3 linked regions of the Arabidopsis thaliana genome follow. The protein of the gene in region 1 purifies or fractionates together with the protein of each later gene. This does not show direct contact. Each region holds a gene or a part of one and is shown on either strand. Other genes may lie near its edges. The genes, in order: FUS9, ATS9 and RPT5A.

Region 1 (3,931 bases):
CCTTACTACGGTTACACAACCGCTAATGGGATTTTCCCGCTTGATTACGCTTTGTTCAAGCAGCTTTCTCCGGTGAAGCAGATTGTTGATCCCAACACGCTTTTACATTACAACAGCATGTTTGATGCTATGGTTGATGCTGCTTACTACTCCATGGAAGCTTTGAATTTCTCCAAGATTCCTGTTGTAGTCACGGAAACAGGCTGGCCTTCGTCTGGTGGAAGCGATGAAGCGGCTGCAACAGTCGCTAATGCGGAGACATTCAACACTAACTTGATCAAGAGAGTGCTGAACAACTCAGGTCCTCCTAGTCAACCAGACATACCGATAAACACTTACATCTACGAGCTGTACAATGAAGACAAGCGGTCAGGACCAGTCTCTGAAAGAAACTGGGGGATTTTGTTTCCAAATGGGACCTCGGTTTACCCTCTGAGTTTGAGTGGTGGCTCTAGCTCCGCAGCTCTAAACGGTTCATCGATGTTCTGCGTGGCTAAAGCAGATGCTGATGATGATAAGTTGGTTGACGGTTTGAATTGGGCGTGTGGTCAAGGCCGAGCTAACTGCGCTGCCATTCAACCGGGCCAACCTTGCTACCTCCCTAACGATGTTAAGAGCCATGCTTCTTTTGCTTTCAATGACTATTACCAGAAGATGAAAAGTGCAGGTGGAACTTGTGACTTTGATGGTACGGCTATCACTACGACTAGAGATCCTAGTAAGTTTTTCTCATTTCCTCTGATCTATGTGTTGCAATAATTCTATGTTTTCAAGTTGTTTCCTCAGAGTAAATCTCAAATTCGATGGCTTGTGTGTTTGCAGGCTATAGAACATGTGCATATACGGGAAGGTAACGATACTAAATTTATGTCTTGTTAAGTTTTGAAAATGAAATCTGCTCCTAACTCTTTGAAATCATTTTCCATTTATCTCAGCTTAAACGCAAACGCTACTAATGGAAACTTTCCTCCGGATGCGTTAGGACCCGCAAGTCCATTGGGAGGAAACGCAAACGCACGTATCATCTTTAGCTACCATCTTCCCATATTGGCACCGTTAGCTCTCACTCTACTACAACTGTTGCTTCAGCATGACCGCCTTTTGTAGAACGTTTGCCAAAAAGCGGTTTTGTAGTAACCGGGGAAGTCTACCTGTGGCTTGGATTGGATTTCTTACGGTTACCGGTAGTTACTGTGTACTTTGTTTTTAGTGTAAGTGTAACTAGAGACTAAAGAGGGCTCACAAGTTCCCATTCTTTTTTTTGTCTTCATCTTTGAACTAAAATATTCGAATTAGAGTGATTTAAATTTCATATTCAAATGAATCAGTGCATTGTAGGAGAGTTTACGTAAATCATGTTATTCATAAAAATTGACAGAGTAAATTTGATTATGTTTAAACAAAAATTAAATTGATTTTGGATAATTTCAATTTTCTTTCCAAAATGTGTGCCTTTTTCAAGAACTTTGAATAATCATTTATCAAATTATTAAGGATTCACGTGGTTATAACATGATCACATTACACAAAAGGACAAGAATATTCGATAATTCAACTTAAATAAATTTGGTTGTCAAAATGATTACAAATTTATTGATAGTGATTAGTGAGAGAAAATAAAAATAAAAAATACATGTTACAAAATTAATCTCCACGTCAGCGATTACTTTATTTGTTTAATTGATCGGACAAAAACGCGGCGTTTCGAAATCTTTTCCCGATGGAGTGCGAGCGAAACGATCAAGTGGTGGATTGGATAAGCAGAGAGTATCGGAAGACGACGACGACGGGAGATGATGACACCTGGCGGAAGCGGGAGGTTGAGACCGTTACCGACGGCGATGTACGCCGGATATTCAGGAACGGCGTCGTCTTGGGTAGCGAAGACTTCAGTTTCTGCGTCAGGGAAGAGGATACAGAGGGAGATGGCTGAGCTTAACATTGATCCACCTCCTGATTGCTCAGCTGGTCCAAAAGGAGATAATCTCTACCATTGGATCGCCACCATCATTGGTCCTTCGGGTTTAATTCTGATACTCTCTTTGAATATTTGTAGATAATCCGATTGAAAATTTGTTAGGTTTTCAAGTCTTTGAATTTGGTGTTTATGGAACTTTTGCAGGAACTCCCTATGAAGGAGGGATCTTTTTCCTGGATATAATTTTCCCATCTGATTATCCATTCAAGCCACCTAAGGTATGATCATGGATTCTTTGGTTAACACATTTTGGGAGCTTTACTGATTTAGCTGGTAATGATTTAAGGTTTAGAAGTTTTGATTTCTAATGATGATCTCTTTAGGAAGAACTATTTAGTGAATATCAATGAGTCTTCAACTGCATCACATTGAAACAGAGATCATCTAGTGTCTCAGACTCTCAGTGTCTAGCATATTATGTAGTTTTATTGCTTTCAACATAGTCTTAGGATACATTTTGTAGCAAATTTCTTGAAGTTTTGGGTCTAGTGATAGTCAAGCTATAGGTACTAATCTAGAGCTTGCACTTTTATTACATCTGTCTTTTTGGTTAAGTTGGTGAGGTTGATTTGCAGTTGGTGTTCAAGACTCGGATTTACCATTGCAATGTTGATACTGCGGGAGATTTAAGTGTGAACATTCTAAGAGATAGTTGGAGTCCAGCCCTTACAATCACTAAAGTCTTACAAGCCATCAGATCTATCTTCTTAAAACCTGAACCCTGTAAGTTTCTATTCTACTCTCAGGCTTCAGATCAGACCATTTCAAGTCCTCTGATGAAATGACCAGCTCATGTCAGATCTACCTAAGAGAACGTTTTTAAAAAAAAGTTTGTGATGAGTTTTGGCCAACAAACATAATAGATGTCCGCATCTAACTACTGTATTTAACTTCCATAGTAAATCTCTATTGTTCTTATTCTTTTTGCTTCTTCTTCATCGACCAGATAGTCCAGCTTTACCGGTGATTGCACGGCTCTACTTGACAGATAGAGAAAAGCATGACGAGGTAGCCAAAGAATGGACATTGCGATTTGCCAAGTGAGATCTTCAATACGAGGAAAAGACAACTGATGTATTATAAATACACCTAGTTCTTTGGTTAGTTAATGGTCATCAATGTACATTCATAAAAGTGGAACCACAATGTTAGATGGCCAAGAAAATTGTTTGCTCAGATAATAGGCAACAATGTGAGGTAGGACCAATCCTCAACAACTCCAATTTATTGAAGGTTATACAATTTAGTGTCAAATCTTTTCGTCAAGGACTCGAAAACCAAAGATCATATATGGTCTGAATATAACTGAGGAATTGTTTCTTTTATAAGAAAACAAGAGCATTTTGTTTTGAAACAAGAATAGTAGGCCATAACTTCTAGAGAAAAGCGATTACAGATGAGATAATTAAACTGAAGAGTATTAGTTGGTACCTAACATGTTCCATAATCTTTATTGATTGATTATCTCCAAAAAGAAAGATCAAACTTTCTATTGAAGACACAAGTGAGACTTGAGAGACCAAATCTACCGGTCAATTCTTTTCGTTCTTTTAACCTAACTCTGTTTAACATAATTATCACAAATGGTCAGTACATATCTATCTACGCATGGTATATATAGAGAATATGTAGAACAGCAGTGTTAAAAAAGAGTAACATATTTTGAGTCTCTGCGACTAATATCTTCATATCGGTACGTTGTAATATTTATCCGTTAATTATACGTGTGTTAGATGTGTTAGTGTATATGCAGATGAATATGTCATTTTATGCATCACATGTATATACTCAATTTGTTTATCTTATTTTTTTATTTAATGTTCCCCTTCGTTGGCATCATATATATTTCTCTTGAAGTTTTGAGTAAAACCTCTAGAGATGTTGGAAGATATATCCAGTATATCGACTATATATAGTATCCAATCTTATGATGACTATGTATCTAACACTAAA
Region 2 (4,800 bases), on another chromosome or scaffold:
TGCGGCTCAGATTAATTAGTCATTTACTACTAATAAAACTTTCACTTTGGGGTCTAGTAGATAATTCTCCACCCCCATTGAATCTTTTTAGTGGAGGTCTAAACATACATAAGATTCTATAGATTGACATTTGGGAAACCATCCTCATACAAAAAAGACCTAAACGGAATCTATGAAGAATTATTAACAGAAAAGAAAAACAGATGGCAATGAGAAAAGATCGGGTTCAAGGAAAACACAGCCGTACAAAACTCAAGAACAAAAACACCAAAAATAAACAAAAAAACTTCCAAAAATAGATATAGAATCACATGGTTTTGTTGTTTTGTCTATTTGTTCTCTATAAAAGGAGATATTTGGTTGGATCTATCATAGCGTCTCCTCTCAACCAAAGCTTACAATTTGTTCTCCCTTAAAAACTAAATTTTACAAATAAACTCTCAAATCCAAGAGAGGAGAAGACCGAAGTAAAAACACAAGAAAAAAAAGGATTAAGGCATAATGGCCAAATTCTTCATTGTCTTCCTTGCCTCTGCCCTATGTTTCACCACCCTCGTTCACTTCACCGCAGCTGATGCCGACGACTTTGACAAATTCCACATCAAGGGCTCCGTCTACTGCGACACATGCCGTGTCCAATTCATCACCCGTATCAGCAAATTTCTCGAGGGTAATTAACCACATTCTCTAATCAAATTCATTTGTTGAGCATACTGTCAATAGCAAAATATATTGGTTGATAAAAAATCGATCCCATTATGGTATATAGGTCAATGGTTAGAATTGTGTAGTAAAAATTCACAAAAATGATTACAAGCATATATAGACGTCTTTTTAACAATGTTAAAATTTTATAAAAATGTGGTTAGTCACATTTCTAAGAGTTAGTGTTGCAAGATTATAAGAAAAACTAATTACGTTATTGTGTGTATATCAGGGGCAAAGGTAAAGCTTGAGTGCAAGGGTCGTGAGAACCAGACAGTGACCCTAACCAAAGAAGCCGTGACCGACAACGCCGGTAACTACCAGATGGAAGTAATGGGTGACCACGAAGAGGAAGTGTGCGAGATCGTCCTCCTCCAATCACCTGACCCAGAGTGTGGAGACGTGAACAACCAAGAATTCCTAAGAAACGCAGCCAGAATCAGTCTCACGGCCAATGATGGCATTGTCTCCAACGAGACTCGAACCATTAACCCACTTGGGTTCATGAGGAAGACTCCTCTCGCTGAATGCCCTCAAGTTTTCAAGGAGCTTGGAATCGTCCCTGACGTCACCTTCTAAGCTTAATATACATATATACACACCCATATACATCGATCTCTCAAAGTCTCAACACTTTCAATTTTTTTGATGACTCTTTTTAATATATAAAACATTTATTTATGTTTTTTATGTGTCTGTCTGAGTTTACTAATTAACCATGTTTTTTTTTCGTTGTTATTGTTTTATTTTTGGGAGTTCTTTTTTACGAATGATTTGATTACCTTCCAATATTTATTTGTTACTTTTCGATTGAACAGATACATGCATGATGTAGTGAAAAACCCTACTCTAAAATAAATTTAAATCATTTACATGCATAGTGAAATTTATGACAGTTTGAGAAAGCTACATATGTAACATATAATGTGAATTATAGTTTGAGGTAAATGACTCAAACTGAAATAAGCAAAAGACAACAAATAAAATCGAACCCTTACCTAAAGAAGGCGGATCAGAGTTTTGTATATATTGGGCCTTTAGTCTGAGCCACTAGGCCTGAATCACAAAACGCGTTTTCACGACAAGCGTTTGCACCAGGATCTTTTGCAGCGTCTGGCGTTGGTTTTCAAACTCTGAATCCGAAACGCTAGATTTTAAGACGCCGAATTTGTTAAGCGTTCTCTATTTCCTGATTTCAGCATCTAAAGACAAATATACCCTTCAAAAAATTGTAAAACTACGAGAAGACTGTCCATTTATCTTTTCTTTCAAGCCAAAAAAAACTCTCGAATCTTCTTCTTCTTATTTCTTCTATACCGTCGTCGAAAAGCTTTACCAAAATCTCACGCCCCCGACGATTCATCGGTAAGTCTTGTTCTTGCGAAATTTCATTAATTCTTCTTCTGGGTTTGCTTATCAGATCTGCTTAATTCTGGGTTTTGGTATGCGTATTGTTTTCGATGTTTTAAAAAACCACATCTGGTTCCTTGTCTCGATAGTTCTAGGGTTTAGCTTTCTTCGATTTAGTTGATCTCAGTGAAGATGGGCCCGAGGATGTTCTAATTCTGATTGAAAGAAGCTGAATACAAAATTAAATAGATCTTAAAAGTATTTGAGTCGAAGAATTCGAACTGAATAAGTTAGTAATTACTGAACTATGTCTCTGTGATTCATCTTATTACTTAAAAATTAGGTTATAGTTTCATAGGCTTTGTAATTCAGTTCCTGTATTACTTATTGTAGCCTCGTTGTATCTTTGTCTTTGATAGATCTCTAGGCTTGTCTTGATCATTAGGTACAGAAGAGTTGATAAATTACAGTGATAAATTACCATCGTGGCTTGTCTTTATCTGATTATCTTGGTAATGTATCGAAGATGGATTTGTTTTTGTAGTGATGTGAAACCTAAAGAGTATCAATAAGCTTGAAAGGAGAAATATTTGAACATTGCATTAACAGGTCTATGGCTTTATTGTTGCAGGGATTTGAGTTTGCACTAAACCCACAATGGTTTCCTATCGTGCTACCACAGAGACGATTTCCCTGGCTTTAGAAGCCAACAGCTCGGAGGCTATTACGATACTGTACCAGGTTTTGGAAGACCCTTCTTCATCTCCTGAGGCTATACGGATCAAGGAGCAAGCGATTACAAACCTTTGTGATCGATTGACTGAAGAGAAGAGAGGTGAGGATCTCCGGAAACTGTTGACCAAGTTGAGGCCTTTCTTTTCCTTAATCCCCAAGGCGAAAACTGCGAAAATCGTCAGAGGAATCATTGATGCTGTGGCAAAGATTCCTGGAACAACTGATCTCCAGATCACTCTCTGCAAAGAGATGGTCGAATGGACCCGCGCTGAGAAGCGTACTTTCCTCAGGCAGCGAGTAGAGGCTAGGCTTGCAGCTCTTTTGATGGAGAACAAGGAGTATGTTGAAGCTTTGGCGTTGTTGAGTACTTTGGTAAAAGAGGTTAGGAGATTAGATGATAAGCTCCTTCTGGTCGACATAGACTTGCTGGAGAGCAAACTTCACTTCTCATTGAGAAACTTACCCAAGGCAAAAGCTGCACTCACTGCAGCTAGGACAGCTGCTAACGCTATATATGTCCCACCAGCTCAACAAGGCACGATAGATCTGCAGAGTGGGATTCTTCATGCTGAAGAGAAAGACTACAAAACCGGATACAGTTACTTCTTTGAAGCCTTTGAGTCCTTCAACGCTCTCGGAGATCCGAGAGCGGTTTTCAGTTTGAAGTACATGTTACTGTGCAAGATCATGGTTAGCCAAGCTGATGATGTTGCAGGAATAATCTCCTCAAAGGCTGGACTACAGTACGTTGGCCCTGACCTGGATGCCATGAAAGCAGTCGCTGATGCTCACTCGAAGAGGTCCTTGAAGTTGTTTGAGAACGCACTCCGTGACTACAAAGCACAGCTTGAAGATGACCCAATTGTCCACAGGCATCTCTCTTCTCTCTATGACACGCTTCTGGAGCAAAATCTGTGTCGTTTGATCGAGCCCTTCTCAAGAGTTGAGATAGCTCACATTGCTGAGCTCATTGGATTGCCGCTCGACCATGTGGAAAAGAAGCTATCTCAGATGATACTCGACAAGAAATTTGCAGGTACCTTGGATCAAGGAGCTGGATGCCTCATCATCTTCGAAGACCCAAAGGCAGATGCTATCTACTCGGCTACCCTCGAAACCATTGCAAACATGGGGAAGGTCGTCGACAGCCTTTATGTCCGGTCTGCCAAAATCATGTCCTGAGAGAGTGAGTGAGTTGGTCGTATGAATCTCATTCTATCGTTCTTTCTTTCTGGTTTTAGATATCGTTTGGACTCAAAGAAACTGATGTTTCTCAATGGAGAAAGTAAACTTGTCTGAATTGTTCACATTACTCGTTTTGCTTATGATCTTATTATGTCATGGTTTCTTACCTTTTATTAGTGCTTAAAATGTAGTTTGTTTTCATCTGGTTGTTGCAGTTTCTTTTTCTTAGCCTCGCAAGTCAACATTGTGTTCTCTTTTTCCAAAACCTTTAATCTTTACCTCATCCAAATCTCATTGATTTTTCTATCTCCGCATTTATAAATTCTGACCAACCCAGAACTCAATTCACAGGACCCACCATTTCTTTTCTCAACTCAGGACATGACTTGCACACAAGCAAGTCTTGATTTTGTTCTCTTCTTCTGTCATATTCTTTTATGTGCTGCTTCATCACAGTAGCTTTTCTAGTTAGCTTCGTGATTATTGATGAAGTAAACAAATTCTGTTAAAACGTTTATTTTAAATGTTAACACTAAAATGTGACATACTACAGTCATCCACAAAAATGTTGATAAGGCATATATTTTCACAAATCATAATATTTCGTTAAGATTTAAGACATTTTTTTGGCTGTTTGAAAAGGTTATTTATCATTAGTGGTTTACTGGTCTTTTATTGGAAGGACAAACATTTAGAGTGTTCCAATATTTGTTCAATTTCTTCTTCATAAACAGTAAAAACCTTATTCTAGTTATGTAGGTATCCCATTATTGTGTGATTGTCAGTTTATAGCTGAAAAGTGAAAACTTAAATGTCCAATTGAAT
Region 3 (5,166 bases), 2.8 Mb from region 1:
TGAGAGTGCCACCAAATTCTTGATGTCAAAGCTCAAAGACTTCCAATTGTAAGCTCTTCTCTTTTATCTTCTTTCTTCTATTTTTTTTTTGAAGTTAATTTTGTCTAATTGGTGAATTATTTTCAACGAATGTGACAGCTTCGTGGGAGAGAGCATGGAAGGAGAAGAAGGGAGCTTAGTGTTTGCTTACTACAGAGAAGGAGCCACTGATCCTACTTTTCTCTACTTGGCCTACGGCTTGAAAGAGATCAAGTGCTGAATACTTCAAAGCTACAGATTTTATTTTTTTATTTTGGAGTTTTACTTTTTGTTAGTACTTTTGGTTAATCTTGAGAGATTTTTCTATTTCAAGTGAAGTTAACTTTTATGCAATTTCCTTAAATTGAGAGCTTGAAAGGATTAGTGCAACGAAAAAGGCCTGATTAGTTTTAAAAATTCACTTGATATACGTTCAAAATACTATGATATATACAAAATATTAGAGATTGATAAGTGAATTCTCTTAAAAATTTCTGAAAGAAAACATAATTTTAGAATAGGTCTATATACCATGAACCAATACTATAGAGATACTAAGATTTCTAAATTTCCAAACTTGTTTTCAGAAGAAGATGAACACAATTAAATGTATTTTGATATAATAGATGATCCTGATTCGAAAACTTAAAAAGATCCAAATCGGAATGAGGGTACAAGTAAAACTAGTTGAAAGATAAACGGCATTGATAAAAATAAATGATGAGAGAGAGAGATCAGGCGTAGTAGTTCAAGCTTGCTTTCTTCTTGGCCTGGACTTGGATGATACCTTCATTGAAGTCTTCATGGTTCACCTGAACACACAAACACAACAACAGAGAACCCCACCTTAAAAAACAGACCAAACTACACAATCATAAAGCTCAAATCATTAAGAGTTCTGTCTTTTTTACCTCTGTGGCATCACGGCGAAGAGCTAACATGCCTGCCTCTACACACACTGCTTTCAGCTGAGCTCCATTGAAATCATCTGTTGATCGTGCAAGCTCCTCAAAGTTGACGTCTGGGTGGACATTCATCTTCCTTGAGTGAATCTGGATTCATTCAGTTGGGTTAGTTGTGTTATGAGAGCCTTTTACTTATCACCAAGGGTCATGTTTGAAAAATGGGAGAGACAAACCTGCAAGATTCTTGCTCTCGCTTCTTCGGTTGGGTGTGGGAACTCAATCTTTCTGTCTAATCGACCAGAACGCATGAGTGCTGGGTCCAGAATATCTGCACGGTTAGTAGCTGCAATCACCTGAAAAAATAGAAAGGTATGGTTGTTACTGTTTCTTTGAGAACGATTTTTAAGACCAGTATGATTAGTCCTTAGAATGGATAAAGACACTCACCTTAATACGTTCATCGCTACTGAATCCGTCAAGTTGATTGAGCAACTCCAACATAGTCCTCTGCACTTCCCTGTCTCCGCTGACTTCACTGTACTCTCAACCAAAGAATGTGATTTGAGCAAATAGCTGAGAAAGTGCAGAAATACATGAATTGGAATCAGAAAAAGATTTGTACCTGTCGAAACGCTTTGTACCAATGGCATCGATTTCATCTATGAAGATAATGCACGGAGCTTTCTCTTTGGCAAGTTGAAAGGCATCACGGACAAGCTTTGCTCCGTCTCCAATGAACATCTGTATATAAATTGGATATGTCATCATGTCATTACAATCAAGTATCATTATAGCTCGTCACATGTAATTATTGTTGCCAGAACACTAAAATCTTATATCCAGACAGGGTAAAGAGTTCTAAGAGATGAGAATTGAATCTGATACTCATATATATATATATATATATATATATATATACCTGGACCAATTGAGGGCCTGCCAATTTAAGGAAGGTGGCATTGGTCTGTGCTGCGCAGGCACGAGCCATTAAAGTTTTACCAGTCCCTGGGGGACCATACAAGAGCACTCCCTTTGGTGGACGAACACCCAGCTTCTCAAAACGTTCCTTGTGCGTCATGGGAAGCACAATTGCCTCTACAAGCTCTTGGATCTGTTCCAGAAATAAACTCAATTAGTTTCACTACGAAGCAAAGTCAATACAGCAGATTAACACAATGGTATAAACATACCTGCTTCTCTAGTCCTCCAATGTCATTGTAATCTTCAGTTGGTTTTTCATCGACCTCCATGGCTTTAACCCTAGAGTCATACTCGGATGGCAAGGTATCCAAAATCAAGTAGCTATCTTTGTTAACTCCAACCAAGTCACCAGGTTTCAAACTATCAGGATCCACGAGTCCAACAACTGGTAGAAAGATGGTCTGCAGTCCACATAACGAAAACAAAAGTATTTGCTCAGACATGAAACGGGAAACGGAAGAGAAGATGTAGAAAACATATCTAAAGAATGGGTTTGGAAGTCTCACCTGCCGTGTAGACGTTTTCAACACAACACATTTTCCTTTCCGTTGCGAGTCAAGATCAATATTTGCACCATCTTCCTCAGCATCATCTTCTGGATTCATCTCCAAAATCTAATAGCATGATATGGTAACACAACAGTTAGAATTCAAATCAAATAGGTAAGACTCTGTAGGAAAATACCAAAAATAAGATAAGAAAACTAGTTGAATACCTCGACAATGTTGCCAACCAAGTAAGGCAGCTGCTTGTTGAGTTTAATCTTCTCCTGATTCTCCTTAATCTTCTCCTTGTAAGAATCACATTCTAGATTTGTTCTTTGCGCGTCTTCCTAAATCCCCATCAAAGAAAAACACAAGATGAGCAATTTCAACATATCCAATTTGCAACAAGAAAGACGTAGCTTTTCAATTCAATCAATCTCAGTTGAGTTGAAAAATCCAAACTTTGAAAACACACGAAGAAATCACAAGAAGGGTCATAAAATTAAAGGTCTAGTTCATCTCCTGCTTCCACGGATTACACGAAACTCAAACCCTAAACCCGTAATCGCGAAAAATCGAAACCAGATTCGAGCCTGACCTTACTGGAATTAAAGCGATTGATGAAACCAATTTAAGAAGATACAATCATGGAGAACGATATAAAGGCAAAGGAGATCGAGAGAGATATAGGGCAAACCTTGAGAATTCGAATCTCGTTGTCGAGAAGACGAGTAGCTCTAGTGATATCTTCGGTGGACATGGAAGCAAGCTGATCCTCTTCGAAGCTTGACGTATCTTCAACCATAGGAGTTGCCATTTCAATACCCAAATCGGAGAGATAGATCGCCGGGAAGAGAAGAGCAAAGAGTTAGGGATTTCTCAAAGGGAGAGGAGAGGGAGAGCGACTATGAGAGAAAAAAAACCAATAAGGAGAGAAGACGAGAGAAAATAAATAACCAAAAAGAAAAAAGTAAATTATATTAGCTATTAAAAATAAAAAAGAGTTTTCTTAGGAAAACTTGTCTTCAAAGAAATGCATAGGGGAAAACCTCTGAACGAGTTAGAGTCTTCCACATTCTCTCGAACTAACTCAATATAAGACAATTTAAACCCCCCTGACTATAGCTTTCAGATTTACATTCCAATTATGAATGTCTAAATCTACTCTTGAAATTGCAAGAACCTTAATCACAAGAACTGCAACAGAAAGATTTCTTCCAAAAAAACAAACTTTATTAGAAATGCTGTTTTATTTATGTCTCTCATCCGAAATTTAAAAGAAAACCAAAATTCATTAAAACATCATAAACCTTTACAAATTCTTGTCATATATTCGAGCGTTAAGTAAACATATATATGCTCAAAACTCAATCATAAATGACAAGTAATGCCTCGGAATCTAAAAAAAACAATAATCAACAACAGAAAAGTAGTAGCATTAAACAAGCTTTTTTTGTAGCTAAGTCAGCATTGGTTGTGATAGTGGAGCCATCTTCATATAGCAAAACGATGACGTTCACGGGAGTTGGCGGGATGTATGCAATTTCAAGAGTAGTGATTCCCATAGGGATCACATTTATTGTGCAGTATCATTCGGCTAGATCTGAGGCGAAAAAGCAGGAGGATGAAAGTGATCACTGAAGACGTCCAAAGTCAGCAATATGCGATTATGAAATCAGGTAAAATTATATTTGTATTAGATGACTACCCACGCTACGCGTGGGTTTGTTTTAAAAATTGTTAAAAAAAAATTACATTGATTGTTCTTTATGCTAATTTATATTTATTATTTGTTTATTTTTGTATTATTAATAAAATTAGATCCATAATATGTAGTGATAATTTTTATGGTTAGATTCATTTGTGATTTGAAATATCAATTTATATATTTTGTCTATAAAGCTAATTATTTATAAGATTTTAATATTTTTTCACTAAATGAATACATATAACAACAATAATGATATTTTGATACAATTCTGTGTAACTATGTTATGTTTGTAGTTTAAAATTTTCCTAACTCGATTATAAATAAATCAATTCCTTGTTTTATGTACTTCAACAATATTGTGATAGACTCATGATTAAAGTTTGGATTGACATCAACTGAAAAAGATCTGAAGACTATTCGTACAAAAAAATAAAAAAATAGCAAAAATTGAATGTCATTGAAGTCAATACTTTTGGATATTTTGTCATTGCATATATCAATATTTAATAAATGATTGTGTCTTGGATGATTTGAAAATTGTTCAACTTGATTATAAATAAGAAGGTGGAGGAAATGGGTAATTACGTATGCTTTTGTTTATTTTTAGACGATGGAAGATACTTAGTTGTTTGTGTGTGTATCAGGAGGAAGGAGACCATCTCTGGACGTGGAAAACTCGAAGATGATTTGCAAGAAATTTGTGAGCCTCAACTATGACTAGTGCTCATGCTTGGAACTGAAACTATTTCTTTTAGTATATATCTAGTAATTGCTAGCTTATCACTCTTTAGACATTTTGCACCATCGTTTTGGGCATGGGACCAATATCTGATCAATATTCAAAAGTGGTTTTTGTAATGACTTTAACTTAAGGATTTTAATTTAATCATGATTCAGGATATATCAGCATCGTCTTAACAAATTAAAACAAAGCTTTCTAACCGAGGTGAACACAAAATTAATGGAGGTGATTGACAATTGAATTAAGAACAAGGATGGGGACAACGCATTATCATTAAAAACAAACGTGATTAGATTATCACTACAAACGTGATTAGATTACCAC

The links.
Region 2: the proteins of FUS9 (region 1) and ATS9 purify together in Arabidopsis thaliana (affinity purification with western blotting, with the first as the bait; one study listed by BioGRID). This does not show direct contact.
Region 3: the proteins of FUS9 (region 1) and RPT5A purify together in Arabidopsis thaliana (affinity purification with western blotting, with the first as the bait; one study listed by BioGRID). This does not show direct contact.

The regions. Positions count from the first base shown.
Region 1 is NC_003074.8:4,422,660-4,426,590, reverse strand, and holds FUS9 (Ubiquitin-conjugating enzyme family protein), read left to right. Parts: upstream 1-1,696; 5' UTR 1,697-1,793; coding exon 1,794-2,022; intron 2,023-2,122; coding exon 2,123-2,196; intron 2,197-2,553; coding exon 2,554-2,701; coding exon of another isoform or gene 2,702-2,763; exon of another isoform or gene 2,764-2,924; coding exon 2,925-3,022; 3' UTR 3,023-3,354; downstream 3,355-3,931. Other genes in the region: AT3G13560 (O-Glycosyl hydrolases family 17 protein), read left to right, coding at 1-718, 823-850, 936-1,107. UniProt on the Arabidopsis thaliana protein: Component of light signal transduction machinery. Involved in repression of photomorphogenesis in darkness by participating in the CDD complex, a complex probably required to regulate the activity of ubiquitin conjugating enzymes (E2s).
Region 2 is NC_003070.9:10,178,528-10,183,327, forward strand, and holds ATS9 (non-ATPase subunit 9), read left to right. Parts: upstream 1-1,774; 5' UTR 1,775-2,070; intron 2,071-2,071; exon of another isoform or gene 2,072-2,344; intron 2,345-2,686; 5' UTR 2,687-2,712; coding exon 2,713-3,972; 3' UTR 3,973-4,261; downstream 4,262-4,800. Other genes in the region: AT1G29140 (Pollen Ole e 1 allergen and extensin family protein), read left to right, coding at 502-670, 938-1,284. UniProt on the Arabidopsis thaliana protein: Component of the lid subcomplex of the 26S proteasome, a multiprotein complex involved in the ATP-dependent degradation of ubiquitinated proteins. In the complex, RPN6A is required for proteasome assembly.
Region 3 is NC_003074.8:1,601,580-1,606,745, reverse strand, and holds RPT5A (regulatory particle triple-A ATPase 5A), read right to left. Parts: upstream 3,388-5,166; 5' UTR 3,207-3,387; coding exon 3,087-3,206; intron 2,737-3,086; coding exon 2,620-2,736; intron 2,519-2,619; coding exon 2,411-2,518; intron 2,306-2,410; coding exon 2,114-2,305; intron 2,035-2,113; coding exon 1,843-2,034; intron 1,665-1,842; coding exon 1,546-1,664; intron 1,459-1,545; coding exon 1,371-1,458; intron 1,277-1,370; coding exon 1,157-1,276; intron 1,071-1,156; coding exon 930-1,070; intron 831-929; coding exon 753-830; 3' UTR 503-752; downstream 1-502. Other genes in the region: AT3G05540 (Methionine sulfoxide reductase (MSS4-like) family protein), read left to right, coding at 1-48, 139-259. UniProt on the Arabidopsis thaliana protein: The 26S proteasome is involved in the ATP-dependent degradation of ubiquitinated proteins. The regulatory (or ATPase) complex confers ATP dependency and substrate specificity to the 26S complex.